4 linked regions of the Drosophila melanogaster genome follow. The protein of the gene in region 1 interacts with the protein of each later gene in a pairwise test. Each region holds a gene or a part of one and is shown in the gene's direction. Other genes may lie near its edges.

Region 1 (7,737 bases):
TGTAGGATGCAGAGGGATGGAAAGCGGTCGGGGTTGGAAGTGGAAAACAAATCGTTAGATTGCTATCGGATGTCAGCTAATTTTGATCACTATCGATCACTCCATTCAATTCCATTGCACTGCCATCAGTCACTTAATTGATTTCATTAAGTATTTAAAAGATGAGCTAAAACACAAAAAGATTGGTATTATCATTCTAAGCAAGCGCAGTTTCTGATTTGGTTTTATTCAGATAAAAAGAATTAGTAAGGGTGACATAAACATTTCTTATTTCTTACAGCGCTTTGAGAGATTAATATGATTTGAAATTGGAAAAGGTCCTTAATGTTGCACTGGCGCCATCTACCGTTGGTAACGATGAGCCCGGCCGTTCCTGGAAACACAGGCAGATCTCGTTTTGACGATAGATGTCGCTGCAATGTGTTCAAAAGCGTGTCATTTAGAAGTATAAAATCTACAGAAAGCTTTTATTGAGTTCAACAACCAAAGCTTATTATATAAAATGAAATAAAATATAACTCTATTTAACATTGAATTATATAACATAATGAGTACAAAAGCGTAGGATCTTTCGATTTTAAATATTCACGTATATTAACCCTTCAATTTAATTTGTCCAAGTAAATAAAGTCGTTTGATTGCTAAGCAAAGAAAGCGAGAGTTTTTAGCTTGTAATGATAAAATATATACATATAGATATACGTATATATATATTTGTTAATGCTCATATTTGCCTGCACATATCATAGGAAGGACTATATTCTGCAGCTGCGAGCGAAGCAGAATCGAGAACTTTAATTCAATATTTGAGTTTAATGCTTGTAGTTATGTTTTTAGTTGTAAGCGCACTTAGCTTCAGACATTATGCCAATTTTCAGTGCAACTTGATACTGTATTGAAACTGGCTTAGAGTGGCAACAGCGAAACAAAGGAAAGAAAAGAAACAGACAAATGTTAAGCAAGAATAATGCGTTACACGAAACTGCACTAAGCTCAACATTTTGGGTTTTACACTCCTCAGGGTTTTTTTTTTCTTATTTATCTATCTTTTATGCGCCTCCTTGCAGCGCGAATCAAATGAAAGGCAGTGACAAAAGGATGTTTTTTTTTTGGAGGAGCAAACTTTGAACTCCACTCGCTCTGTGCCCGTCAAGGAGGCCAGAATCCCTTTTTTGGCCTAGACAAATTACACCCGAGCTCACCAGCGGACTCATCAGTCAGAGTCGAGAAACAGTGAAAATCTCTTTGGGTTCCGGGAACACATGGCAGCCTAGGAGCAAGCGGAGCGTGGAGTAGTGGGAGGCGACAAAAAATGGACTCCATCATGTACATGAATGCCCATGCTAATTAGGACTGTCCTGGGGGGACGGCCAACTGGACCTGGGCCAATTAAATGCTTAAGCTGACTTTCGGGTTCGAGCTTGTCATAAATTTTGACTGATTATGCGTATTCGTCTTTGTCGTAGCCCCTTCTCTGGCTCCTTCCAACGCCGCCCCAAGTGTCCCATCTCTTTCCACTCATCTCATCCTTCGGCTACAAGTACCCGTGACAACTGAAGAATTTTCTGCGGCATCCGAACCCCACCTCCCAAGTGTCCGACGCAATTCATCATTCAATTAAATTGACCGCAAAGAGCAGCATTTCACATCGCTCAGTTCGTCGACATCGCCTTGGGTTAAGTTTTTAAAGTTGCCCAAAGTCGAATCCTTTAATGCCTTGCCAGCATTTTTGCTGCAATCGATTATCCTTTCAATAAAATGCCGCGGAGGCGAGAAAAAAAAACTTTTACCCCCTCGAAATTTAACGCTTTCGCCCGCCGCATCCCCCTGACCCGAAAAATTGGGGATATCTTTTGAGGTTGATTTATGCGCTGGCTTAAAAGCGAATTGTTGTGAGCTGCTAACTGGAAATCTGTTTGACTGCACGTACTTGTTCTGGTTCTCCACACATAGCCCTCCACACTGAAATCTCCATCATCGACTTTCCGGGCTTAAACGATTGCCAAACAAAGTCAAAAGAGAACGTCGTGCATGCCGAAGGATTCGGAATCCTTTGCATTTGAGCTGCGCTTTTTTTTTCCGCCATGCTTCTTGGTATGCCGGTCCCGGCAACTCAAGGATTTCGCAGCTGTCCTGGTCACAGTCACTATCTGCTGCCCGGATTTGGCCAAAGTGATTTACGACATGCTCATGCCAGGCATTCAAAATGCGGTCTAATTGAGACTCCTTAGATGATTAATCCTTGGCTAATATGGCGAAATTCAACAAGTCTACGCCGCACATTTCCCATAAATTTATTTTTCTTTTTGCTGCCGATAACGCCTTTGATTAATTAACACACTCGAAGTTTTTTTATGTACCTCATGTGAGAAAAGGAAAAAAAATGAAAAGTGATGCATATGCTCTAATAAGTGAGCCCAACAACGAATTGAGATGTTATCACGATTTATTCGGCTTGTTTACTTTATAATACACTAACAGAAAAATTTCTGTTCGATGTTTTCGACATTTGTGTGGGATTGTTATAAGTATTTCACACGTTAGTATGCAAGTTTGTGAAATACAAGACTTAATAGGTTGTGTACAATTATCAATCTAAATTTATTACGCCACTTATTAAATTTTTTAAATTATTTTAGAACGTTTGTCACCCCGCACAAGTGTGAACCTTGAATTATGCTCATTGCAAAACAAACTACAACTGCTGCGATTTTTTGCATTCTTCTTGTGGTTTTAATTGCTACCTAGAGTTTTTAATTAACGCCCCCGATTTAGCTGTATGTATTTGTCGGAGGGAGAAGGCCAACATAATTTGCAGACTTTTGAGGGGCGGTGGGAGGACTTTGAACTGGGCGCAGGAAGTGGGGTGGAAATCCTTTGAATTGCGGTTGCCATGACAAACTCTTATTTCGCCCGGCATTCCGTTGTCTGGCTAATTCAACGTTTGTGCAGCATGCAAAATATTATAAAATTCCGCCAAATGTCGGAGGTACTTCCCCTCCAGCAAAAAGACGGGCAAAAAAAAAAAACGGAAACAAAAACTAATAAACGACAACAGGTGAGGCTGAAAGCTGACACGTGGCATCAACAACGCTGAGTAAGAATTCAAGGCGCATTTTTGGGAGGAGTGGACTTTCAGCAATAACTGTGGCCCAAGCGCCGGTTGCCAACGCGACCAGCTGTGGAGTATAGTTGAAGTTTTTCGAGGGGAATCGAGGTCTGTTTCGGCATCGATGATAGCCCGCCTATCGATAGGCGGCAGGACCTGTTATCGCCGAGGGCGCCAAAAAGTGCTATCGTTCGGGGCCACAAGCTCCCGAGTTCCCTCATTCGTTGGTCTGCATTGAGGGCGTGGTCTGGCCTACGCACAGCGAGTATAGCCGACCCGCTCTAGCAACCACTTGGCAGGGCAAGCGCGAACGAGTCAGCATGCTTGGCTCGACGGCAAGATGGCTGTGGGCTCAGCTAGCTGTCTCCTTTCCTCGCCCGCCCGGGGCACTGGCACGGTGTGTGCTCTTTGCGATTTTTGCAAATCAATGCGAGAGATAAGCCCGCTGGCAGAGATAACGCTTGACTTAACCGTCAATTGTGCGAGGGGGTGGCGATTGAATGCGGCGCCAGTGCGCAGTCGTTGTTGTCGAAGTTATCAGGTTTCGTAGTCAATTCGCTTTGATTTTTTCGCACTGCCCTCAAATGCAAGCGAGCAGCGCTACGTATACGGCGTACAGCTCCCATACGATACAATAGTGCGATCCGAAACAATTCGATCCGTTTCCGTTTGCTAGTGCCTAGAAAGCCGTCGCACTGGCAGAGACCATTAACCGAATTGATCTAACTGGGAAGTGCCAAGGAATAACTAAGTGAAAATGTGCCCGAAGTGTAAAAATGCTATCAATTAAACAGTAGAAAACAAGGACGAGTGACCACACCCGAAGGTGGAAGCAAGCCGTGTCCTCCGCCGGACAGTGTCCGGCTGTCAGTTGGTCAAACAGTTCATCAATAAACGATTCGACTTCCGTTTCATTGCGTGTCCCTAAGCTGTGCATGTCTGCGTGTCTGTGAGTGCGATTGTGTGTGTGTGCCAGCTGTGCGCGTGTGTGTGTGTGTGTGTGGGAGCTAAGGAAACTTTTCAACTTCCGGCCAAGTGACTTGGATTTAATTTCTTTGGCTTTTTTATGGTCAAGGCATTTAATTAATTTTACTATGGCAATTTGATCGTCTGCTGGCCTGAACTCTGACCCCAGCCCATAACCCTGTGGCATACACAAAAAGCAAGGAGGCGGAAAAAGGACGAGCGATAGGAGGAGCCAGGTGAGTCCTTGGCCAAATGAGCAATAAAACTCAATGCAAATGCCCACACAATCGAACTTCGGCAGAAGTTTCTGCGGTTAAGGAAAGTGAAACGGATTTAGTTTTCTGGTTAGTCGCACAATAGTTAAATTACCCAAATAGCTGGACATTTGACAGGGGTCAAAGTTCAAGAGAGGGCTGGGCCAAATATTCACAACACACGAGCAATTAGTATACTTAAATGTTTTGCCAAGACAAAAATCAAACATTCATTTATGATTCCAGAAATCTTGATACATTGTAAGCAGTTTTATTGCATATGATTGTATACTATAAACATAAACAAAAACTTTGCTAAACAAGTTAATGACCATTTTCTCTTGTCAATTTAAAAACTTTTAGTATTGAAAATTAACAAGTACTTCCAAAAAAGCACAAAGTCACCTATGTATGTTTATATTTGCGTTGAGCAGAAGCCACCCATCCAAAAATAACAAATCTGTTTACTTGCAGCCACACCCATTTCCACCGAACAATTGAGATGTAATTTGCACCGCAGGTGAACTTCAACTCCAACGTTCTGTGATAGACGAGTATACGAGCAGGAACTCCCATTGGGATTCCGCCACCACCAGTCGATATCGATTCCCGATTCAATCAAATTGGATCCCGAATCCTAACTTTCGGAGCAGCAATCAGAAACAGCGACAAACTGTCGACTCTGTCGATCCGCAATTTCTCGGCAAACATGCTGAACAATCTTGGGGCCAATGTGCTGGGTAAGTTACGCCCCCAATCCTCGATAGCGTTTTAAGTGCGGGCTGCGGGCGGGAGCTGCGTATAATGTTGCAATTAAGATCGCCAAGTGAATTGCGCTAATGTATAATAATGTGTGTATTAATCCATGGCATACGATCCGCCTGGCCATAATTAAACTAATTTCTTGAGCACACCCACAAAAGATCGGAGGGGTAGTTAGTCGTACTTCCGATCTGGCGATTGCCATCGCATCTCCCATGTCTGCTAAATGGCCTATAATTGAGACGTCTAACCAGATGGCGCCAGGTGTCGCGTGCATTTAGCAATAATTAAGTTGTGTATTTAACTAACTCGGCAAACCTTCTCCGATTCCCATTCCCATATGCCTATGCCCATTCCGAATCGAGTGTGGGTGGGTGTGTTTGTGTTAATTGATATAATTGCTCTTTTAAATATGCCGCAAATTGTGAATTACATTCACACATTCACCCGGCGCACGCACATAATTATCAAACTGTACTTGTGTCCTCATATTAATATATTAATAATTCCGAATACACATATGTACATATGTATGTGCGTGTGTGCAGGTGAATAAATTATTTTTACCACACTGTTGATCAACGATTCAAGCACTTTCAATTTTGGCAATCAATTTGTTGTTAGCCGTCCAACACTACCAGAAAATACAGTTTGCAAGTGCATTTGCAACTGCAACTGCAGCAGCCATGGATGAGTTATGGCTCGCGTTTATATTCAATTTTTATTGCCAGCATCCTTGCGTCCTTCGAAGCGTTGCCATTAATTACTTTTATTAATTTATTGCCATTTTTCACGCGCCAATTGTCGCCGCTCGGTGCACGCGGCGTATGCGTAATGTCCATAGTTGCCATTGAAGATGGGTGTTTAATTAAGGGCTAGCAAGCGAAACTGATCTGACGGTTTGCTATCTGCCATGGATTGCGACTGCCAAAGTTGGCTTTTAAAGTTTTCGCCGGCTTCAACTTTAGCCAGCTCCATTTGCCCACGAAGAACTATAAATTTCAATGAATCGCAGTGCGGAATCCTTTGGACAAATCCTGCCCGCAGTGCTGGAGTCTGCCATAATAAATTTCGTGAGCCTTTTTCCGAGTTTCGCACAACAGAGAGGCCAAAAAACATTTGCATACTGGGTGCGTGGCCGAGAGGGGCAAAAGTGGATGCCCCCCTAACCACCCCTTTACAATTAAGAGCAATTTGCATGCAAAAGAAATGGCAGAACTTTCCCCGGATTCGTATTGTCTCTCCCCTACTAATGCTTAATTTGCATGCAGCGAAAGGAGCTCGAATGGCGTTTCGTTTGGGCGCTTTTTTCGTGAGCCTCGCATTAATTAAATTAATTTCATGATTGCATTTGTAATTTGCACAGACCCCCTTCAGGTTTACCCCCACCCGTCCGTTGCATCCACGAAATATCTGCGCGTGCTTCGCTTTGTGCGTTCGGCATTTTTGCGGTGGCCTAGGCTAGTGAAATATGTGTGCTTAACCCCGCTGAACACCGCTTAACCCCCCACTGCCATATCCGCTTTGCATTGAAATGTTTTGCGGTTGCTGCGGATTCTGTTCCCAGTTGCGGTTAGTTGTTGGAGCAGCCCAGATTCCATGCCATGCCATGCCATGCCATGCCATTCCATTCCATTTCAAACCAAACCGAATCGGAGCGATCTGCATCGTAGTTTGCCAACTCGAGGCCCAAAGGCCAAAGCCTATGTCCTGCTAAAAACCGCACAATTTCCAAATTTCAATAATTATGCACATTGCTGAATGCACATGCAACTGACGGCGAATCTGGATGCAAGTGCTCGGCCATGAAAGTCCGTTTCTGGCCATTCGGCTGGCCATTCCGGCCAGGTCCATATATTTTGCGGGAGAAATCGCGTCGTTCGCTCCCAAAAACAGGCAAACTGATTTGCGCAAATTGTGCAAATTGCTTGCGCGATAAATTCATGTTTGCCAATTTTAATTAATTAATCGCTTTGTGCGGTTTTCATTTCGTTTCGCTCCTCTTTCTCGCCGGACCAACTAAAATGTTCGCTTCGGGCCAGATGTAAATCTACGTATCTGCGTCCTGTGTATCTGTGTTGCCACTGCAATGTTTACAGTTTCGTATTAACACTATCGCAATTTTGGCCAGGTAGCAAATGGAGGACCGAAACTAAATTACGATGATAGATAACAAAATTATGCCCTATTAGTACGCGTCCTAATGATTTGGGAACATGGATAGGTTTTTATGCCAGTTTTGCGGTTAACACGCAGATTTTGGAAAATGTTTGCCAGCTTTCTTATGTTCGATGGGAAAATTAGTAATGGATTTAGGCGTGAATTTAATTTAAATCAAAATTAAATTTTTGAAAGTATAAACACACTTTGCATCCAGTTAAAACTTTAATATAAGTAAGACAAGTGGTTAAATAGGTTACTAGAATATATTTCTGTAAAGTCTTAACTTCCATTCTAATAAAAACTCAAATAGGTTCAGCTAATAGCTTACTCAGAATGCAGAAACTTTAGCCCTGAATGAGACTACTGCGTCATCTTGATCTGCATACACGATGAACAGTTAGGGCTGCTGCTTTTTAATATTTATGTGTTACAACTGTAAAAGGCGAGGTGAAAAAATCAAAGTTAGACCAACTAACTAACTAG
Region 2 (5,647 bases), 4.6 Mb from region 1:
TTTCGTAGCTTTATCACCTATCGCTCTTGCAAACATCTCGACGGCAAACACACCATCTTTGGAAAGCTTGTCGGAGGATTAGACACTCTTCAAAAGATGGAAAATATCGAGGTGGATAACAAGGACAGACCAATTGAGGACATCATCATTGAGTCCTCACAGGTCTTTGTGAATCCATTTGCCGAGGCAGCCGAACAGTTGGCCAAGGAGCGCGAGGAGGAGGCGGCCGGCAAGGAGGAGATTGTCAAGAAGGAGGAGCAGCAAAAGCGCATGAAGGAGCCACTGAAGGTGTACAGAGAGGGCGTAGGCAAGTACCTGAAACTTCAGACAGTGGCCAAAAAGCCAGAGGCGCCACTTACATCCGCTCAAGCAGCCAAGAAGAAGAAACTGGCGAATGGTTTTGGAGATTTCTCCAGTTGGTAACCCATTGTTTTCCAAAAATAAATATTTAAAAGACCGTTTTAGAAGTAAAAGTTATCACTCTTTATCGGTAGATTTGGTTCCCCCATCTGTGCGCTCTCTATCCTGCCAGCTTTTCTTCATTTCTTGCAGCTTTTCCTGTCGCCGCCGCCGCTCAGTGGACTTTCTCTGCTCTTGTGCCTTGACTTGCGCGGCAATTGAATGCTCTCCGTTTAGATGCACGTCCAGTTTTTCCAGTAGAAGTTTACGAGCCTCCACTCGATTCTTTGATGCTAGACGATGTGTGTGACACTTGACCGTTATATTGGTGGGTAGATGGCGCAAGAACACGCAGTTGGATGTCTTGTTGACAGCCTGGCCACCAGGACCACTGCCGCGCATGAAGGTCTCCTCGATATCCGACTCCTGAAGCACGGGAAAGCGGGAGTAGTCCAGATTGGACTTGCAGCGCACAGCGGTCGGAGGCAGCGCCAGGAATCGCACCAGACCTCGCAGCATTCCTACAGAATGCGTCCCTTCTTTAGCAGGGTCTCTCCGCGCTGAAATATAAGTTCATTTTGTAAATCAGTTATGAAATACGAAAGTGGCACTTACCTTAAAGCTGAATTCCACTTCCACGGGATTCGTAAGGGAACGGTTGTCCCGAAACTCGTGGCGAACTCTTCCCAGAAAGTAGTTCTTGTCGGTCAGCTTTAGGTGATTGCCGTAACGAATTAAATGCTTGTATAAACGCAAAATTTGCTGCCGCGAAGGTTGAACCATTTTCATATTTCACTCTCACATGTGTGACAGTGCTGGTTAACGCAGAACTACAACAGGTTGGCAGTTCAGCAAAAACACAATCAGCTGCGGCGTTGTGCGATCAAAACAAAAGCAACAGTTATAAAAATAAACATTTGAAAAAAACGCAATGATAAGATTATAAATCTTAAGTAGCCCACAATTTACGATTCCCCCACCACTGTTAAAAATTCCTAGTCACGGTTAAACAGTGTATTAAACTCTAAATAGGTAATGCATGTCACTTTAACATCTATTTTATTATCTACAGTTACGCTATACCTGAAATGCCTGAATACTTTTACATTAGGCTATCAATTGATTACTCCTTGGGCAACTTGTCAAGATCAATGCCGTCATCAATGGACACCCCTGTCGCCTGGCTCAGCTCCAGCATTTCCTTAACCTGGTGAGCAACCTCCCTGTCCACAACTTCTCCACCTCGATTCATGGTCCGTTCGATGATTTCCTCGTCAGACAGTTGCAAGGCGAACATCTCCTCGGGCGAGATGTCCAAGGGATCCACCAAACTCATGAGGAAACTGGCCGATATGGATAAGCTGTACGGCAGGAAACGCACGTACTCCTTCAGAAGCTCACCGCGACTAAGAAATAGCGTAATTAGTATTATATTATTTCTTGGCAGTAAAAAGCTTTACAGGATTATCTTATCTTATCACATCGAGCACCTAATGAGTATTTTTAGATTTTTGATTTGCATTCATATCGCTTGTTTGAAATTTTAAAAGCTTATGAATAATGAATAATAATAACAACTCACCTTAGGAAATCCGGAACCTCCTCCTTGGCGTGCTCCCTATAGCTATTATGAAGCGCCAAGGTGTATTCACAGAAGATGGCCTCGAAGTTTGGATCGCGTACCTCGGCAAAAATGGACACGGCTAGAAAGACGTTGAGATCGACCATGGGAGAGGAGACTCGCAATGTCTGGTAGTCGAACATCATGATCTCCTGCGGCTCCTCCTTGTCATCGTACCTGTACGCCACATTATTCCTCACATAATCGCCGTGGCACAGGGTGGCCAGTGGCTCCCTGGGCGCCACCCGTTGCCTACCGTATTGCGAATAGTCCGAGATCATGAAACAGAACTTCTTAACAAACTCCTCGTCGATCTGTGGCTGATAGGTGGCCACCGCCTTGGCCGCTCGATCGATGCTCGTTTTCATGGTGAGCTTCCATTCCGGATGAATGTTATCGTTGGCATAGCGAGATTCCTTCAGATTGTCAGTCAGCTGGGCAAACTTTTCCGGGTTCTTGTGCTTCATGGCGTACGCAAAGCCATGGAACCTTCCCAGGTAACTCACGGCAATCATGGCGTGCTGCAGACTCAGACCCACACGATCCTTGGTGACCCGCCATCCCTGCTCCGCGAAATTCTCCAGAATGGCCACAGCCGAATGCTGGTTCAACTCGCCGTAATAGTACTTGGGTGCGGCAAACTTGCCATCGGTGAACTTCTGAAACTCTGGCAGAATTTCCGTATAGAAATTTATCTCGTTGGTAAAAAGGGGCCCAAACTGTATGGATTCATACATTTCTGGTGGCATAGCAGGTGTTTTCTACAAAAAAAAAAAAAAACAATTAATTATTGGTATTCTGGGGTCATTGCATGCCAAAGTAAACTTCATCATTAGATGTGATTTATTTTGAATTCAAAATCAATTCGCTTTGTTCTTTTGTTGAGATGCCTCCCTCTATTTCACAATGTTTGCCATAAAACCCACACTCTCACTAAGCTATCTGAGTTTGCTGGAAAACAAAACTGGTAAGTAGTACGCAGTTAAGGCACTTATATAATATAATTTAAATTCCGCGAGTATAGTAAATCTTTTCGTTGTGTTTTTAGATATCCAGATAGATTGTTTAAGATTTATTTATACTATGTGAATGGAATAAACCTACCTTAACCACCATTTTTCGCTGAAACTTTTGCCCGTCGTATTCAAAATTAATGGTTGTCCGGTAGCAAAAAGTTAGCATAAAGGCCTCCGAGTGGCCAATTACATCAATGTCGATGTCCCCCACATGGAATGTGGTCACCTTGGACTCGCTGTAGTTGTCCACCAGGCGCCCGTTCCTCAGAATTGACGGAAGAACCGTGTATCTCAGCCATTGCCTCTCAGCCTCGATCTTCTCCATTTCGTCGGTACTGACGATCCCAACCGCTTCGCTTGTGGATAGCGAATGAGCATAAACCATTTCATATAGCTCATTTTGTACTACTCTCCAAAAGCTCATTCGTTGTTAGAGATTACACGATAAGAGCGAATTGGAAATGAAAAGCTTTCTAATCATTAAAAGCACTTTATGGTTTATAGAGAAGCAGTACCTACCTAATGATTAGCATGATGCAATTTGGCATGTTAAAATGATATGATAAGATATCATGACGCAAAGATAGGGGGATACGCTATTTATTAGTTTTAATTAGTTTTTTTTTTTTGTTTATTGTGTGCAAAGTTTAATGATTCCTTTGGATTAAGTTCTATTTTCCATAATCACAGGTATCGATATATTTTTAGTCAAAATTTCCAGTTTTAGAAAAAGCTATCCTACCGTTGCAGTTCGACTATCGACCAACTACCAATGGGCCTCAACTGGTATTTACTCAAAACGACCGGGTCAATGACCAGGGCCAACACCTACGTTCGAAAGTTCACGAATGGATCGCAGCAAAGTCGAGATATCAGCATGCCATCCAAAGTGCCAAAGAGGACAAGTGCTTCGATCAGGATCACGGATTTGGATAACATGTCATATATGTCCTCTTCTTCGCGAAAAGGCAAAATAACGAGCGGCCGACACGATCAGTTGAAAATGTCGAAGAATGCTCAACACGACGATGTCGTCTGTCCAATGCAAGCGAGTAGGAAGCCCATCGAGGAGCCCACTGTTCGGGATTCGCCACAAATGCGCGAGTTCTTCGAGGAAGTGCGTCAGCGAAAGCTCAAGGATTACTATCTTCAGATGAAGGCTGCACAAAGAAATCCAGCGATGTCCCATGTGTGTCCGGATTGTGGTTTTGTGAAGCGGGATAAGAAGGATCTCAGCAAAAACATTTACTGCACGGGGGATAAACGATTGAGGATAAAAGATTGTGATCGGCATGGGGATCTCACCTGGCTGTGGAACTCCTCCGCTGCATATCCTCACTCTGCACTTAGTTGTGGATGCAGCAGAGGTGTCTCCAGCCACTTGGAAACTTTAATCAAGCTGCACAATATAAAATGTTTAATTTAAAATTTGTAATTTTTGATATCTAGTTGCCAAGGAGTTTGCTGATAATACATCTGTTTTTCTCCGATATTTAGTTTCATTCTGCAATCCAAATCGTTCGTACCTTTCCGATTTGAACCCCACTCTTTCCACAATGTTTTCCGATCCCGCCCAGGAGTCGGTTGCCACGCAGACGGAGGCACAACCGGTTCCGTCGCCCATCTGCACCCCACTGCTGATGGTGGACGAGGATGGACGAAAGCGGTACTGCTACCATGGTGGAAAATGCAAGTGTGCCACTTGCGCACAAATTCGTGCAGAGCAGGCAGTGAAACTCGACCAGGAGCTGCTGTCCTACATACCGCACTCGAAGCTCCACCTGGAAGTTCCAATCCGAATGGCCAAGCCGAAGCAGTATCGCCTGGAAGCTCGACGGGCTACTCCCGAACTGGCAAAATTTCTGCGGGAGGATCACGAGAGGCTGAGGGCGGAGTATCCATCGTACTATCTCCCGGATCGATACTTTGGTAAGAAATTCTACGAGTTGCCAGGACCGCAGCACAAGGAGACCCAGACGGACATTCCGATTGGGCGTTACGGCATCGATGGTTGTCCCTGTACCAATAAATCGCTCTGCTATGACTTGTAATCCTGGGCAGGACTCAATTGGGGAAAAAAGAGTTTAATAAAAGTTCGGAATGTGAGAAGTATTTGCATGTTTTTCAATAAATCACTATAGTTAATTTCCCCGACTATCACATACCCATTACTCAGCTAGTAGGTGTGCAAATTAAATTTAATGTAAATAAATTGATTATCACTTATGATAATAGTTATGATACTCCTATTTCTTGGGTAATTTGGAATAGAAATCCTCCAGGAAATCCTTTAATATCAACTTGAACTTTTCGCCGTGCTTGGCCAATAGCAACTTGGCCTCACTGTCCTCATTGTCCAGCATCTCATCCGCTTCCTCCAGCACCTGAAGGTAATGCAGCCAAGCCGTTTCCAATCCCATAACCTGCTCAAATGTTTCCTCGCTAAGCTTCACCTGGTATTTGTGCAGCAGAACGAAGAGTTCCAGCATCGGAGTAAATGCGGACTGCTTCACTGGCACATCCTTCAGGAGTTTTTCAAAGAGCTGTTTGGCAGCCACCGTTTCACGGATGGTACGAGGAACCTTCATCACATTACGCTCGTTGCGTCGCA
Region 3 (10,599 bases), on another chromosome or scaffold:
AATTTGCTACCTTATTCACTTCTGTGGTTTTTTTGCATAAACAAATAGCTGGGGAATAAAGGCAGTGTCCAACTTTTAGCGGAATTGCTACCGGGCTAAAAAGGAAAAAAGAGTGGAAAACCCGGAGCCGGTAGCCAAGAGTGCCGGGCATTTATCAAAGCGTCGGCTCTGATTTGAAGATGCACCCAAACGGCAAACAAACAAAAAAAAACATATATACAACTGGGTCCCCAGGGCAAAGCCCAAAAAGCAAAACCCAACCCAATGAGTTTCATTAATAAATTCCAGAACAAAACACCCAGACAAACCGGTTGGCCAGCCATCCTCCTTTTCCCCCCAGAAATATTCATTATTTGTATTTTCATTTTTTTTTTGTGGGCGTTCTCAGTGCAAACAACTGAAAATAATGGAAAATATTTGGTAAATATTTGCGGGCAGGCCACAGGACACGAGGGAAATATGCGTGAAGGATGAAAGATGATTTGGCAAATATCCTTGCCAGACAATGCGGCACCAGAAACTGGAAATGCCTAATGTGATTTGAGGATCTTGAGGGATGGCATCAAGATACTGTTATGGATTATGAATTATTAAATTTGTAATTCGACTTAGAATAGGTAGATTAAAAGATTGAACGAATATGTACATATATAAATTAAATTTACAGATACAAAATGATATCAGGTAACAAACAGACTTTTCTTATCGTTACAAAGAGTGATATCAAATTATATAAAATGTATTACAAGTAATCATACAATGCAGAGTGCATAATTCCCCATATCATTTTCATTTCCAGCACACATGTTGCTGCAATTCCGCTTTATAAATAGAAACTCAATAGTGCTTGGGTTGCTTCCGCTTTTAGTGCTTATCGGGCAGATTTTGGAGTCGAGGCAAGTGCCAAGCGGAAATTCTCCGCCGCCTCGTCTTCAGACCCCCAAAAGAAATGGAAATGGTAATAAAAATAATACGAACACGTGCCTCCCACTTCAGGGCGGCTCAAGTGCTCGAAAAACGAACGAATTGAAAACCCCCCTGGATGAAGAAGAACCCTTTTGCAATCGAAGCCCCGGAAAGTGTTATTTGAACTTAAGAAGCGGAAATGCCGCAGACAAAGCAGGGGAATCTCAAGTGAGCAGAGTGAAAAATGAAATTAAAGCCAGCTCAAAACATTAGTTATCTATTGCCGCAAATCATCAATCAAAGTGACCGCCCAGTAAAATTGGAGCAGGAAAATGTATGTCCTTCTTGCTGACCAGAGGAAATTTCCACAGTCCTGTGTCGGCCAAATTCAAAGTGAAAGTATTCGATTACCCAAAGCGATCGTTAAGTGAGAAAGGGAAAAGTATCGAAGAAATTATAAATTGCCGACAAAGCCGAGGGCCAAATACTTGAGATTTCGAGAGGGAAAGGACATAACAAGGAGAAAGTCAAACGAGGACAGTTAGCCGCACTAATTAACAAGCAGAATTGTTTATTTTTACAAGTGCCAAGTGGCCACTTTTTTTTCAGATCGACCGCCCTTTGTTTTCACAACTTGTGTTTTCCTTGGCTTTTGACATTTTGGTGACATACGGGACTGCCACCTAAAAAGACACACATGTAGATGCACAGACAAGGCCAACATATTAGGAACATAGGCTCTTTTTATGAAAGGAAGTGTAAACCTTTTTCTAGAATCAAAGTATGCACTCTACTTTTTAGAACCAGCGTTCTTGTGTCATAAAATTGTATTTAAAGTTATCCCAATCTATAATGCTATCGTCCGTTTTGCTTTTGAATTTGTTAATGCTGATAAAACATTTTATAGCTATCAACTTAACTGCAATTGTAACCAGAACACACACGACGCATCCCTCCCCGTCCACTTTCACCATTTCTCCCAGGGCGAAAGTGTCAAAGTGACATGCCCACTTTGTCGCTACCCGACTTAAAAAATGTCTCAAATTACAAAAATCACACAACAAGACGGTTTGTTCCTCGCACAGGATAAGCGGGATTAGTCAGCTTGTTAGTTAGTTTGGATCTCCGCGTTCCGTTTTTCAGGATCGCAGGATTTCCGTCATGGCAATTGGCAATCCGAGCAATACGTAATGAATGTGACGAACTGTCAGTTGTTTCGAGTTTCCTTGTCGCAGCCGCATTTTCTTTGCATTTTTTAGCGGGTTAATTGGCACTGACAAAGGTCTTGACTTTTGCCTGGGAAACATAACAATTTGTTGACATCTGTAAATATTATGGGGGAATTTTCCAGAGGACTAGCTTCTATCATACAGCGTGTGGAATTGTATATAATTACTAACGGAAAAATATCCCTGTTAACTTTTTGAATCGCCATAATCTAAATTTCATGATCATATCCTCTTGAATATAAAAAAATATAGCTTTACAAATAAAAATGTCTTGACTAATGCTTATAGATATACTATGTTTTCAAATGGACTTCTATAATATGTACTAAGCGAATTGTTTAAAATATGTTCTTCCCTTTACCGAAATAAATTCAAATTGCATATACATTTTAAATAAACTTGTAGTTATTTTCGCACTCTTTATTCATGTTTTTAGAGCACAGAAAAATTTCTCGAGCTCAAACTAATAAATTCCCAACGTCCCATTGCAATAACCTTGACTCAAGGTCCATGTCCTTGCAGATAAATAAGAAAGGAAAAACAACGGGATGCAACTGCAGAAAAAAAACAGAGACATAAAACTCACTCAAAACAGAATTGAGTGAGACACGGAACGTGTTGGAAACGAAATGGAACAGACGGAAGATGGAAGAAAACGTCAGAAGAGGAGATAACAGGAAATGGAATGCGACGACAACGGCGAAAAGTTGTTTAAAAAAAAAGACCAAGAAAAACCGCAAGCAAAACGTTGGCACTTCATAAATGGGCGAGAAAGAGAGGCAAAAATAAAAAGAAAGAGACCTCGCTATGGAGAAATAGAGAGGTGCGAGGGAGAAGGCCAAAAGCGCCGACATTTTTAATTGTAAATGAGTTATGACGCGTTCGTCAGAGAGAGAGGTGAGGCGAAGAAAAGAGAGGGGCGCAAGTTGCTGACAGCGCCGCCTTTCTCTCTGTCGCACGTTCACTCCCCCGCCGATTTTCCAATTGGAAAACGAGAGAGCGAGTGGCGTTTTCACTCAGAGTGTGCGGCTATAGGGCTATCCCGCTTGCACTCGTACTGGCGCGGCTCGCTGTAGGGTGGTCTCGCTTGCACACATAGGGACCATAAGAGGAATAACTGGTTTCCCGAGTTTTGCGCCTGCCGTCGTTTTTGGCTTCTCAGCGGCAACATTTTCCTGACACAATTCAGTTCGTCGTCGCCTGCCTTCCGTTGCGCACACACTCAGTCCGCGAGATTCTCAGTTCGCGTGCGCCAAAGATAAGCAAAAGAAAGCAAGAGAGATATAAAGATACAAGATACTTACACCTTGAAACATACACATACCCCTCGAGTTACCAAAGCTAAAGATGCATCTAGCTTTATAAGTGCCAAGTGTTGAAAAGTGACCAGATACAATACCCCAATACCTTTCCAAGGTATTCCCTAGTTAAAGCCCCATTAAGAACAACATCATACCCTTCAAAATGCTGGTTGGATCTCATCCGTATTTGTGCAACGGGGTGCCCGCCGCCCCTGCAGCACCAAATGCCAGTGGACAGACAACAACAACGGCTAGCAAAAGTGCCGCCGGCTCAGCGACGGACTTTTCCATCGCCGCCATCATGGCTCGCGAAGATGCCTCCAGTCGGGAGTCCTCCATTCGCAGTGCAAGTAAGTTCAGATACATATTGAAAATATCCTTAATAAGAAAGGAATTCTGTGGGAAGCGGCAGAATCATTAATCGGTTGATAGGAACAATTTGTTCTTAAAAATATATTTTTATGCATTAGAAATTTAATGCCTTGAATATTAAGCATTTCGATTATATAGTGATTTTTAAACAAGATTTTTTTAGGCTTAACAGACTTACAGCAAGATTCATTGATGAGATGTAGAATATCTTTAAGATACTTTCATTTCTGTAGTCTCAAATACCATAGGGTACTTTTGTTTAGAACTTCATTTGACAAGCTATAAGTTCCCTAATTCAACAATCTTTAATCATAGTAGGTAGTTGTAACTTTAGATATTCACTTATCTCCTAGCAGTGCTTTCTGTACAAAAACTTACTTAACATACCAGCACACAATAACTAGAAATTGCTAAAACAAAAATGGAATTTTTATACGATTAATTCAAATTAAACGTGATTAACAACTCAACGCCCAAGAAGAGAACCGCAAACTTGACCAGCGAATGCAAACATTATTAGCCACAAGACAATCGCTAATTGATTGCACAACAAATCTATTAAATTACTGTTGTCGCTTTGGGTGCGCAGAGTTCCATTTAATTGCTAATGACAATTAGCAGGCGTTCCGGCCACGTTAAAAAAGAAAAAACTAGTTCTCTCTGGCCGACGGCATTCGCAATTAAGTCGAGCCAAAGATCGCGAATCCAGATATTTGTTAGCAAACACTTGCAGCGCTCTTTTGTGGCCGATATTATGATAATATGCAAATTGTGCACAGCATCTAATCGCGCGGAATTCATATTTAACAAAGGCTGCTAATTATGTTAATTAATTTTCAACAATGTGCTTCATTTTATTAATTTTACGAGGCGCAGAAAATTAGCGACGGCCGAAATCAAAACAAAAACGCTACGAGGTGTTCGTATTTTACGATCTCTTTATCAAATATGCAGCTTTTTTAATTTCATATTTTGTTTTGTTTTTTTTGTTTTCTGTGGTCGCTTTCCGTTTTCCGTTTGCTTACTTTGCATTTTAACACCTACCGTCTGGGCTCACCTGCAAAAAAACCGGGCTGCTTAGTTCTCCCCATCATTTTGTTACCATTTTCGGCTTATGGAAAATGGAAAGCGTATGTGAGAGTTCGCCCATGGATAAGCCCAAAAATATTATTCATCAACTTTTGCGCACACACCTTGAACGAAAGCCCTCCGCTTTTGTTTATGCAATGGAAAAGAGCAATCGCAGCTAGAGTTTCGGGCTGTTTAATTGCCGATTTGTGTTCAGTTTGACAATTAAGCCAGCGGTCGTCGTCGCACTGTCTCATTGCAATTGAAACGCGAAGCGAAGCGGAAACTCCAAGAATATGAGACGACTCCACGCTGTCTGCCGCGAAATCAGCTCCACCACTCAATGTTGTCAACGGAAGCACGGCCTCGGTTTTTGGCCAAATGCACAACGGAAAAATCGTTAATAAGACGCACAAGTTATGAAGGAAAAAGTGATGAAAAATTCAGGAAACATTGTGATCTTTAAAGTGTTTAGTGCCAAATATATTGAAGGCTTCAATTTAGAGATTTTACTTAACGCTTTTTCCCATGTGCATTGCATTTTAATTTGCATTACCTCCAAAACGAACGGTGTAATTCAGATTTAATTTTCAATTTTCGCTTTTTCCTCTCGTGTCATTTAAGGTCCCATTTCGGTGGAGGATGAGGTTGACGTTGATGTGGTCGACTGCAGCGATGCCGAGGAGCCACCGACTAAGGCGCGTCGTTTGAACCATCATCAGCACCACCAGCATCACCAGCACCACCACAATAACAACAATAACAACAACAACAACAATGTGGCACACAAGAGTCGCAACAGCGGTGGCGCCGTGGCACAAACAGCTTCCGCCGAATCCCAACTGAACACCAGCTCGACCAGCAGCCAAGGACGCTGCTCCACACCGCCCCAATCCCCGGGAACGGAGGACAGCGAGGAGCGTTTAACACCGGAACCGGTGCAGAAGGCACCCAAAATTGTCGGCTCCTGCAATTGCGACGATCTGAAGCCGGTGCAGTGCCATCTGGAGACCAAAGAGCTGTGGGATCGCTTTCACGATCTCGGCACCGAGATGATCATCACCAAAACGGGCAGGTAAGCATCCAAACCAGCAACAAGCCATCCATCCATCCAGCCATCCATCCAACCATCAGTCAGTCAGTCGAGTTTAGTGCAAACAGGCATTAGTTTTAAATGGTGGAGCAACGTGGGAGATTTTGGGAGGTAAAAGTTGCTGCCAAATGGCATTACCCAAACATATACTCTTTTCACAAAATATTTTGCATTCATCACTTTTCCGCAAAACTTCTTTATTGAACAATCAAGTGTCTGCGTGTTCAATCATCAAAGATGTTCACCCTAAGTCAGTTGCCCATAAATTGGCTCGCCAAATGGTTTTTGCAGTGTCAACAAAAATTTCATGCCATTTGAGTGAATGTGTGGGGTCTATTTCCTCCAAAAGGGAAACTGTGCAAAAAAAAAGGAAACATTTGTGTACCTGCGCAGGAAGAAAATGAGAAAATCAGAGCTATGGGCGTTGCTGTTGTCAGCGGGAGAATGGGAACAAGTTCAATCCAAATGACCACGGGTTGTCCACACCTTTGCTCCCACACACCTGACCACACGCACACAGGTCACACATATAGATAGATATATATACACCTTAATGATATTGTAAAAATCACACCTCGGAGTCGCAGACATCAGGGCGGTCCCCGATGCCCGCCTTTGGCCTTTTTGGCCGGAGGTTATGTCACCGGGTTTTGGAGGGACATTAAACCACAGGATGTAGACAAGAGGGATACACAGGTTTGTGACTCAAAAAATGAAGGAAGAGTTTCGCTTTTGTCTTCATTGTCTGCACTTGTCAAAGCAGGGAGAATCGAAAAGGAAAATATGGGAAAAAATCAGCTTGAAGCCCCAGTGTCTGGGCCATAAATAGTCGACTTAACTAGCTGTGTGGCAATAGCAATCCCCAAAAAAAGGGAGCATTCAATGAAAGCAAAAATCTAATCGAATTAATTTAACTTTGTTACCTCTTCCAGACGCATGTTCCCCACTGTGCGCGTCAGTTTCTCGGGTCCGCTGAGGCAAATCCAGCCCGCCGATCGCTACGCCGTCCTCATGGACATCATCCCCATGGACTCGAAGCGGTATCGGTACGCCTACCATCGCTCCGCATGGCTGGTGGCCGGCAAGGCCGACCCCGCCCCCCCAGCACGCCTCTACGCCCATCCTGACAGTCCCTTCAGCTGCGAGGCGCTCCGCAAACAAGTTATCTCCTTCGAGAAGGTGAAGCTGACTAATAACGAAATGGATAAGAACGGACAGGTGAGTTGACTTGAGATACCGAGACGCTGTGGTACTGAGATACTCAGATGCGCAGATACTCGGCTGCTGAGACATTCAGATGCTGAGGTAGCGATTAGCCGCGAGTGCTAAATAATTGATAATTTTGCAACACGAAGAAATATTCGCCAAGTTGCGAGTCTAGAGACCATCGTTGATTAATGTTGCTTTGCTGTGAAAATGGAAAATGTTCGTGTTCAATTCAAGAAGTGAATTTTAGGACAATATACTTCTATCTAATTTATGAAAAGTTTTAAAGAATATTAAAGATAACTTTCAATCATTTAAGCACTTTCCTAATTCCCAGCTATGTAAATTTCAATCGACTTACTACAATGAAACCTTTTCCCTCTTTTCTATTCCCTTCCAGATCGTTTTGAACTCGATGCATCGCTACCAGCCCAGAATTCATTTGGTGCGTTTGAGCCATGGACAGAGCATTCCGTCGAATCCCAAGGAATTGCAGGACTTGGATCACAAGACCTACGTATTCCCGGAAACCGTATTCACCGCGGTGACGGCCTATCAGAATCAGCTGATCACCAAGCTGAAGATCGATTCGAATCCGTTCGCCAAGGGCTTCCGCGACTCCTCCCGCCTCACCGACTTCGATCGCGATCCGATGGAGGCGCTGCTCCTGGAGCAGCAGCTCCGCTCGCCACTGCGCCTCTTTCCCGATCCGCTGATGCAACAGTTTGCCGCTCAGGGTGATCCCTCCTCGATGGCGCTGTTCGAGAAGGCACGCCAGCATCTGCAAATGTTTGGCGGCAACTCCCCCTATGCCCAGCTGATGATGCCGCAAATGTACCAAGCGGCAGCAGCGGCAGCCGGACCACCTCCGCCACCCCCCGGCCTGGGCGCCTTCCACATGTTCCAGCAGCAGTGGCCCCAACTTACCGCCGGCTTTTTGGCCAGCGCCAATCAGCAAGCTGCCGCCGCTCAAGCCGCCGCTCAGGCCCAAGCGCAGGCGCAGGCGGCAGCCGCAGCGATGGCCGCCAACCGGACGCCCCCACCCCCGCCCACTGCATCCACGCCCTCGTCGACGTCGTCGGGATCGCCGTCGCCCGATATGCGACCGCGCCAGTATCAGCGGTTCAGTCCGTACCAACTGCCAGGCGGTCAGGGGCCACCCTCCTCTGCCGCCGGTTCGCCACCCGCGGTAAACGCCTCACGCAGCCCCGCCCACTAAGTTAACAGCCCACGCCACCAAGTTCTTGCCACGAGCAGTATTAAAAAGTGAAAGCACTGGGGTTAAAGGTCGTCTCTTAAATGCAAAAAAGTTCCTGGAATACTAAGAAAATACTTTAAAAAAAAACGTAAAAAAAAAATCGTCAAAAAGTTTTTAATACAATATTTTGCTTTCCGATATGATTTCTTATAAAAAAGATCGTTTCTGGCAAATATTACTGCTGAGTTTCTTTTCAGTCAATGAAATTGCTTAAACTTTAGCTTTATTTTTCAATTTAGACGACCTTTAAGCCCAGTGAAAACTACACAAAAAAGGTTAGCCATCTTTTTGAATGTTGTAAATTATTTGTTGTTTATATGAAGGCAAAGAAAAACTTTTCTCTATTTGTTGTAAAAATCTTAAATTATGTATAAGCTGTACAGTTCTTCTCACTTTCCCCTAGACAATTTTTGTAATCTAGTTTAACTTATTGTACAAATGTTTAAATGTTGTTCGAAAACTCATCTCAGTGTAAAGTTAGAACGAAATTCACTCAAAAACTAAGCAAAACAAAAAAATATACATATACATAAATAAAACGCTGCACGATTGTAAACTATATATAGCTATGTAGTGTAAGCATAAATCGTTAGTAATGCTATTATATATAATGATATATTCATAGTATTAACAGTAAATTCATAGACGCTTCAGTTAGTTATATTTATCCGGCGAAAACGTAAAGATTTATTTAGCATAAATTAAAGGAGAGTAAAACCATAATATGTATTCAATGTGAACGCTAAAAAAAGTGAAAACACGAAAAATATTTAAACAAAAATTATTAAACGAAAAATATGAAGAAAAAAAAACACAAACATACAAAAACCAATCAAAAATAAATAAAAATATGTGAACCAAAACTAGCAACGTTTTTTTAATTGGAATTTTTATTCGATATTTGAACAGATAGATCTGAAACGTTTCAGTTTTCGTTTTAAAAAGCATTATAAGCTTTTGGTAAATAATTATAATAATTTTTCAACAATTTTCCCCACGTCTCGAGTATCTTCGAGACTCAAATTACTTTCCCTCTATAAGAAATACTCCACATAAATTACGCATTATAATGCCCTGACAAACACTTCAGTTCGCAGGCATGCAAAGTAGCCAGAAATCCTGTTTGAATTTCTCACACAATATCGCAGATATATCCTGTTCCACATAGGCGTAATTCCTTGGGTGCAAGTGTCGTCCTGTCGGCAGAACAAATTGAAAAACAGACTGAATGGGTCTGGGAATATGTGCAGCTCAGATACAAAGATACAGATAACCAGATACACACTCTCGTGTTCGACGAATGCATTTTCATGGTCACTCAAAGTGAAATTTTTCACTGAGTCTTTCGGGTGTTCGGAAAATTCGATTGACACGCCGGAGTTTTGGGTCTTAAGTGGAGTCTTGATGGATGATTGGGCAGCACTGGGTCGGGATTTGGATTTGGGTCTGAGTTTCTGGTGTAGATAAGCGTACGAAAATCGTATTGAAGGCCTTTTGAAAATTTCCACTTTTCCCATTTTGATTGAGGGCCCAAACTAATCGGATATAATAGCATTTTTGATAACTAAATATATACTCTGACCCTCGAGGGGCCCATCTCTCTGCCTAATTATAATGAAATTAACTTGGAGGATAAACATCTTGGCGTTGAGGGGTAAGAGTATACAAATATAATAACACTTCCTCTAATTATATGGTGAACTCATTGAAAAAGGTGCTATCGGCATTTGTCTATCTGGCACCTCACTTGCCAAATTTTAATTTCCATACCTGCTCATTCACTTTCCCTCGGACATTATGTGAATATCTCTGGACGGCGATCTTCGATGTGGGACCCGAAGTTAATTACAAACTAATCACGAGAACAAACAAAACATTAGGCTATCGCCGGTCGGCGATCTTTACAGGAGCAACCACTACCATGGGCCCTGCGCCCATATACATATGTCAAATGTCGGGGTAATTTATAGGCCAACACCGCCGCAGATCCATGTAGTCCAAGTGTCAAAACAAACAGAGCGCCGCCCCACACGAAAATGGTAACAAACTCATCATTTGCCAGACAAGAACAAGATGGGGAAACTCTGGGCTCAACTCTCGGCTCCCTTGGCATAAATTTCCTTTTGGCGTTTTCGTTTTAATTTGAATGTAAATGATGCTGACGCA
Region 4 (7,611 bases), on another chromosome or scaffold:
TACAGATACATAATAATTTCACATAATATCTTTTGGCAATTTAATATGAGATTTTTCAGATTTTTGAGTTAATGATCTACATAGGTGCATAGTTTTGTTTAGAGTGCACGATTTTTCGCAGTTGTGGGCGCGGTAATGAAATCAAATTAGGCAGAGATCTCGTTGCTGGCGGCATAATTGATTTGCTCCGCTCGTCTGCGACTCCGTCGCTCTCTTGCACTCTTGCTGATCCCAAGGATAATTGCCAATGTCCTTGGCATTTGGACGTGGTCGCACCTGCCTTCGAGTGACACGCTCCGCTCGCACTTCGCCCACTCAGCTGGGCAGATCGGCTCTCAAGGATGCCGTAATGGCCATAAAACACAATTGTTCGCAATTATTAATTCTCTGTTTGCCTTGGCGCAAAGGATTACGTTTGGGCAGGAGGGCGACTTCAAAAATGGAAAACAAAACCATTCGCTACGCAATTCGTATGCAACAATAGCGGGGAGGTTGGAAAACAAAAAAAGGGCAGAGAGAAAAAAATAGATTCGAACACACATGTTGTTTCGATTTCGGGCGGCAATAAAATTGATATATCCTTTGGCACAATATGGCCGCCATGTGCATTTAGATGGCCATGTCCTGGCGGCTTAGTTTCCGCCTTTTTCCCAATTTCCCACCGCCGCCCGCCTATTGGCCATTTAGTGCACGTAGGCAAAAGGAGCAAACGCAAGGAAAATAGTGAAATTTCCCAAATAAAAACTAATAGCCATTGGGAAAACCGTGCTCCATTCTGCGGCTTTTCCGCATGCGACTTTGCCGTAATCCCGTCAAAGCGTAAACAAAATAGGAATACATGGGTTATTTGAAATCTGTTCCATTCAATGAGAATCGCAATGGCTTCTAGAGTATATATCCCCTGATTGGATTTTCCGTGCTCTTCCAACTTTTTTGCTACGTTCTCCGATTTCTTTGCCCAGGATTAGTCATAGTTTTTGGCAATTTTGTTCATAAATAACTTTGAAGTGCTTTGTTTTGATTTTCCGATGCAGCAACATTATGCAAATACCTCAAGGCACAATTTTGTGGGCTTTACGTGTTTTAAAAGAAAGACGGTGTTGTTCATATACAAATATTTCATTGCTCAAAATCTGCATCATCATAGAATGTTCACAGAATTAAAATAGAAAAACATATCTGAAAATTTATTTTTTTAAATCTAAATATCAAGGTTTAAATCTCCCATAAAATAACATAAAAAGGGGGTGTTTTAATAAAAGTTGAAATTTCTCAATTAACTCCAAACGCATTTCCGCACTTTACGAACTTCATTAGCTCGTTGATTTCCACGAAAATCGTTGAAAACTATTTAAAGAAATGACTATTAGGAAAACACGCCCTCTTAATTTCATTAAATCAAATTCAAATTGTCCGAGACCAGCCCACAAAGAAAACAAAAACAAAGCGATTGCAATTTTTCACTCCCCCTGAAAAAAAAAATATATATATAAAAAAGGAGCAAGGGCAGGAGCAGGAATAGAAACAGGGAAAACCCCCCCAAAAAAAAACCTGGAAAGTTGAAAAAATATGGTGGCATATGCAAATGAGATTTCAGGGCAGGAAACAAATCATTGAAAAATTGTCACCGAGCCGCGACAAAGCAAACAAAGCGAGCTGCGGCCCACCCTGTCTGTATCCCTATACTCCAGATACCACATATAGCCGAATGTACTCCCTCCACCGATCCGACCACCATCAACATCACCATTAGTGGCTCAATTGTGCGCCACATCGGCTGGCAACCACGAATCGCATGCAAATGAAACCGCAGAGACAAAAACAACGATTACACCTGGGAAAACTAAAATAAGACGCATTTTGAATTTAAATTTTGCATTTGAGACTAAACATTTTTATTAAATATTTAGATAATAAACACATTCATATCAATATGTTGTAAACTTTAATATAAAAGTTACCAAAACTAAATTTTAAGATAAATGTATTGTAACCAGAACATACAAGACATAAAATTTAAATAGTTTACACTTTCGATAATGTAGCGAAATTATTCAACTTTTCTCGCAGTGCTGGGAAAAGAGGACATCATCCTAGGAGGACGAAGGGCGCAGCTGACGAATTGTGAAAAAAGTCTGACGGAGGGAAACAAGATGGTGGCACCACCAGAGCCCCTTCCCCTCACCCCACCAGTTTCCTCCCTTTTCCATGGGTCTATAATTTTCTGCTGCGTTCACACGCCATAGTCGCATTTTTTTTCCAACCATCTTTTGTTGTTTCCTTTGAGCAAACATTTAAATTAAAAACATTTACATACGCCGGTGGGCGGACAAAAGGGAGGAGTGCCAGGAACCCAGATATTCAATTATGATTTTTCAATTGGAGGACCCAGCACACGAGACACTTTCTCAGATAAGTCCTGTCGCAGGACTTTTTGTTTTTTCTCTTGACGGTCTGGAAAATTATAGGGTGATGGTTAGGATGTTTAAAGGACATTTAAAGGGAATGAATAATTACAAGAATACAAATACATAAATATATTTTTCTTGGAATTTGGTGAAAATACAACTTGTAACGAAACAATTCAATACATTTTTCATAGCTCAAAATTGTACAATTTTTTTGAATAAAATGAGAAAAATGTGGAAACAGAAAACATTTCGAAATATTTTACATAAAATGCTGGCAAACAATAAAATGATGGCAAATGCGGGATAACCCCTTTGTTCATTTTTTACATTAATTTCCTCTCCTGAATTTTATAGATTTCCCTACCATGTTTAAATATGCTTTATAAGGTTATGTTTATAAAACATTCATTTCAATGTTATAGGTTAGTTCTTAATATAAAATCGTTTATTTAAGACTTAAAAAATATGTAATCAAGAACAATAATATTAATTTCAGAGATACCATGAAATTAAATATTATTAAAAGAATTTTTCAATATTCTCAATTTATACAGTAAACGTAACTAGAACGAAACTCACTCGCTTTTCCACTCAACTCAGTGCGCTGTGGTGAATAGCCAATGAGAAACGGAATGGAATCGGACCGAGTTGAGAATAATTGTAAATAGTCGACGAAAAGCGGTGAAACACACCCCCAACCCCGACCAACAAAATCCACTCACACTCACCATAGCAACAACAACAATGAAGCAAAGAACTGTCAACAGCCAAAAACAAAATGACGAATTTATGAACTCCTCAGCGCGCTCTCTTTCGCGCTCCCTTGCTTCTAGCGGCACGAGTGAGATGGCAGCAACAAAAGGCTCTCACTCAAATACGGCTATATAGAGTTGTCTCGCTCTAACACGCGGCTAGCTTATGAATTGGTATTGTTTTGAGTGCATGGGAATGTGTGTTCGAATTGGAAAATGGAAATGAGTTATGCCTCGACGCCGACGTCGCTGCAAGCAGCATGGGAATGCACTGCATGTGTGGCCATCTCGCTCACACCAGTCTAATTGAAAACCGTATTTTTTCCCATATTTCTTTTGCGGTTTAAACTGGCGGTTTGCCTACGTCACGTAAGGAAAGTTTCGGGCCATGTTCTCTGGAAATGTTTCCTTACGTCGCGTTACGTGGTGTTGAAAACCTTTCGCCGTAAGACACATCAGCTGTTGTTGTTTCTGTTTTGGGGGGTCAGTCGACGTCGCAGTTGGCTTCGCTGTCGGCGTCCTCGTATTTGTTGTTGATTTTTGCGTTGCGTTTTTTTGTTGGTTTTGTTGGCTTTGGCTTTGGCGCTTTTGGCGTTTACATGGCGAAAAGCGAATTGGGATTCATTCAATGGTCAGCTGCGTGACTGTGAAGCAGCGACGGCGCTCCGGAATTTCCCGTTTCCTACTCGAGAATACGCAAATTACGATAAATAGCACGAAAAACCGGAGACCGCAAATACGGGCGTAAAGTCGTCAAGTCGCAAAGTGTGTCGTAAAACGTTGGAAAAAATAATACACATTATTTGCAAAAAAAAATTAGACAAATTTTATAATATTTTATTATTTAATAAAAAATCAAACGGCACAAGAATAATAACATACATACATATATAAAAAGGAAGCAAAGCAACTCTGTGTGATAAAGCAGTTTAAATTATTAAAAGCAAAAGCCGGCAAAAAATCAACAAATATGTTGAAGAAAATTGTAAAGAATTCAGTTTAAATCCGAATATAATATTTTAAAGAGCATTAAACAAACAAGTCCCAAAATAGTAGAACTAATGCAAATACAAACATATCAAATAATGGGCAACAAATAGGCAAACGATAAAGAAAATACCAACAAAAGCGGGAAAGAAAGTCCGAAACCTTTGAGAGCATATATTTGGCAAGAATTGGCTAAAATCCGTGCAGCAGCATTACCAATTGGTCTCGGCCCGAAAATGCTTTTGAGCAATCAGCCGGCGAATACGAAACCGCAGCAAACGCCTTCGCCGTCGCAGACGCAGAACTTCAAGTCGAAGCTGCAGCAGCAGATTGTTTCGGCAGCGGCGGCGGCAGCGGCGAACATAGCCAACGGCAGCAGCCATCATCATCATCATCAGAACCATCATCATCACCATCCGCTGAACAACCATCATAATCACAATCACAATCAGCACAACATTTCCTTCGCCACGGATTTCTCAATTGCGGCGATTATGGCGCGCGGCGGAAACGCCCCAAGCAGCCGCGAACCTTCGGAACGCAGTCTGAGTGAGTAAAGTAATTCCCGCACTAAAATATCAGGCCTACATCGCAAACTAGACTCAAGAGCTGTTCAAAAATAGCCAATGCATTTTAGGGCTTCATTTTCGATTGGGTTTCAGAACAATAAGTATCTTGATATCGTTAGTTTGCATGAAACGAGCTTAAAAACCAATCTTCATTTGAGTCCCATCGCTTCATTCATGAACGTATGTTTCTTATGATTCTTGAATTCATATTCAGCTCCTTACTACAAACAAGTTTCACTCTATTAACATATTCAATATTCCATTCTTTCGATTGAGACTAATAAATTGGCCAGTCAAAGTTTGAAAAGATTTTAACTCTGGCATATCTAGCATGTTGATGTTTATCCCAAGTTACGGGCTTGTCTGCTGATTTAACTATAAATATTTACGATCCAGGATTAAAATATGAAAGGCTTGATAAATGATTGAAAATAATCAAGCTGTGACGAAGAGCCAATTATCACATTTATGTATTATTTATGTGAATTTTTTAATTCAGATTTCAGATACAAGATTAGGAAAGTACACTCAAAATCGAAATAGAACTCGATAAAATCACACATAAGAGCAGAAACAAAATGCATTGCCAGAAAAATATATGTGTAGCAAATTGGCTTTGAATACTTGAGACTTGATGAAGAACAAAAGCAAATTAGTAGGTTAGTGTGCTAGCAAGAAAATTGAAATGTAGTTGATATTTCTATATATTTCTAGAAACACGTAAAGCAGTTAGGAAAATATATAAACATATTTCATTGGCTTTGGTAAAGAGTCATGTAATCGATTGCTTAGTAATATTCACTTGCTTTATTACCCACCTCTTGAAAAACTGTCGCAGCTGCATTACATTTCTATATTTTCCACATTTTTTGCTGCCCTTTTTGTGCAATATAAATTATATATTGATGACAATGCAACGTTGATGACTTGATAATTGCAGCAAATGCGCGGCAATAAAATAATCAAAGCCTATTTGAATGCGCCAAAGGGGTTGGGAAATGCACATGACAGGCGCAGAGCAGATACATATATATGTATAATCGCATTTGTATATACACTCTGAATGCAAAACTATTTAGATGCCATAATTGGGCAGAGACAAAAGCGCAAACAGATGCATTCATTAGTGTGAAAACCGACCCCCCCCCCACCATCGTGCACACCATTCTCTTTCAATTGGCAATTTTCATTGGCAATGCCAGCACACAAATACACACGAAATTAACATATGAAATTGCATTTTGAGCAAATAATTGAATTTCTGGCGTAATCTGTAAAATGCATCTGGTCGCGAACTGGATTCTCGTTGGCATTGCTGTTGCGACTCGTCATCGACAACATGCAACATGTTGCAGCCCAGCAGCAACTCCCACATTAACGAGCCACGCTGATGTCTCTCTTTTCTAAGTGCACTGAAAGAATATGCTCTTCTAATATGACAACAAACAATTAGCACTTATGTCTGTTAAGAAATGATATACTTAAATACACATTCTTTACTGTTAGAAATTCGTAGGAATCTTTTTTATAAACTTATAAGCTCTAAGTATCATTATATTTAATATTAATTATTTTTGGTTACTTGTATCAAACATTAATTTTTAATGATTGTGTTTTGTAGTTGCAAGTAGTTGTTTTTCCATAATTGGGACTTAGTTACTGACGCATTCTGCCCCCCATTCATTTCTGGTCGTGTAGGTCCCGCATCTGTGGAGCGCTATTCAGGCCAGGATGCGGACGATGATGTTGACGTTGATGTGGTCGACTGCAGTGACTCGGAAATGCCGTCGGCAACTGCGGCAGCAGCAGCGGCGGCAACAACAGCAGCGGCTGCAGCGGCAGCATTGCAGGCGCAGCAACAAGCGCGTCAGGCATTGCGTGTTGCACAGCAACAACAGCAGCAGCAGCAACAACAAAGGCAGCAGACACATCACCACGCAACAACTGGCAAGCAACAACGCCAACATCACAATCATCACAGCAGCAACACCAACAACAGCAGCAACTCAGGCAACAGCAACACCAACAGCAAATCAAGCAGCCAGCGAGGGCGTTCTGCTGCCGCAGTGGGAGCCGCTGCCACGCCCTCGCCACCGCCGCCCCCGCCCTCGCAAAGTCCGGAGGAACTCGAACGCCTGTCGCCAGAGGAATCACCAGCCCAGGTAAAGCTGCACAGAGACATAAATCCTTTTTGCTTCTAGAAAAAGTGGCTAGCAAAAAGTATTATTAGCAAAATTTATAAAATAAGATATAGGTACAAAAAATTTGATATAGGATTATTTCCTATCTTATATATTATATTATCTTATATAATAGATTTTATATATAGTAGATATGATTTTCTTTGTGTGTATGCATCACCAACTAAGTGTGGCGAAAGAAATATGCATCTCCTCGAGCGTCCTACTAAAATCGCCTCCTAATTCTCTACTCCTTCTTTTTCATCTCTCTTGGCAATGCCACGCCCACAGCAGCCCACGCCCAAGATAGTGGGCTCGTGCAACTGCGACGATCTCACGCCCGTCCAGTGCCACCTGGAGACCAAGGAGCTGTGGGATAAGTTCCATGAATTGGGCACTGAAATGATCATTACCAAATCGGGCAGGTGAGTGCAGTGCCATTGCCATGGCGGCAACAAATGCATAAATTAAGGGGTTTACACCTAAGTGAGTAGGCTGGAAAAACCAGGGGTTTCCATTGATGCAGTCATGAATGATTTTTAGCAGAGATGCAAGCGCAGATATATGCCTACTTTATTCTATTTAAAAGGGGATATTCTATATATACAGAGTGAGCTTATCTGAAGTATACTGTATATTATATGAGATTTAAGTTGAATTTCCTTTTTTAAATGTTCTCACTTTCTTATTTGTTGATCTTTCAAAACTCACT

Evidence for each region.
Region 2: the proteins of otp (region 1) and CG30324 interact in a two-hybrid assay, tested with the Drosophila melanogaster proteins (one large-scale study listed by BioGRID).
Region 3: the proteins of otp (region 1) and mid interact in a two-hybrid assay, tested with the Drosophila melanogaster proteins (one large-scale study listed by BioGRID).
Region 4: the proteins of otp (region 1) and H15 interact in a two-hybrid assay, tested with the Drosophila melanogaster proteins (one large-scale study listed by BioGRID).

What each region holds. Positions count from the first base shown.
Region 1 is NT_033778.4:20,899,360-20,907,096, reverse strand, and holds the start of otp (orthopedia), read left to right. Parts: upstream 1-3,682; 5' UTR 3,683-4,311; intron 4,312-4,803; 5' UTR 4,804-5,038; coding exon 5,039-5,069; intron 5,070-7,737. UniProt on the Drosophila melanogaster protein: May be involved in the development of the central nervous system.
Region 2 is NT_033778.4:16,287,086-16,292,732, reverse strand, and holds CG30324 (uncharacterized protein), read left to right. Parts: upstream 1-4,499; 5' UTR 4,500-4,592; coding exon 4,593-5,087; 3' UTR 5,088-5,147; downstream 5,148-5,647. Other genes in the region: CG7747 (uncharacterized protein), read left to right, coding at 9-423; CG30100 (uncharacterized protein), read right to left, coding at 478-918; CG42372 (uncharacterized protein), read right to left, coding at 921-959, 1,015-1,182; JhI-26 (juvenile hormone-inducible protein 26), read right to left, coding at 1,523-1,805, 1,982-2,781, 3,125-3,361; CG30099 (uncharacterized protein), read left to right, coding at 3,809-4,462; CG9068 (uncharacterized protein), read right to left, coding at 5,283-5,647.
Region 3 is NT_033779.5:5,458,319-5,468,917, forward strand, and holds mid (midline), read left to right. Parts: upstream 1-3,320; 5' UTR 3,321-3,599; coding exon 3,600-3,786; intron 3,787-5,500; coding exon 5,501-5,951; intron 5,952-6,901; coding exon 6,902-7,187; intron 7,188-7,575; coding exon 7,576-8,394; 3' UTR 8,395-9,292; downstream 9,293-10,599.
Region 4 is NT_033779.5:5,400,494-5,408,104, forward strand, and holds the start of H15 (H15), read left to right. Parts: upstream 1-3,786; 5' UTR 3,787-4,386; coding exon 4,387-4,699; intron 4,700-6,417; coding exon 6,418-6,881; intron 6,882-7,190; coding exon 7,191-7,324; intron 7,325-7,611.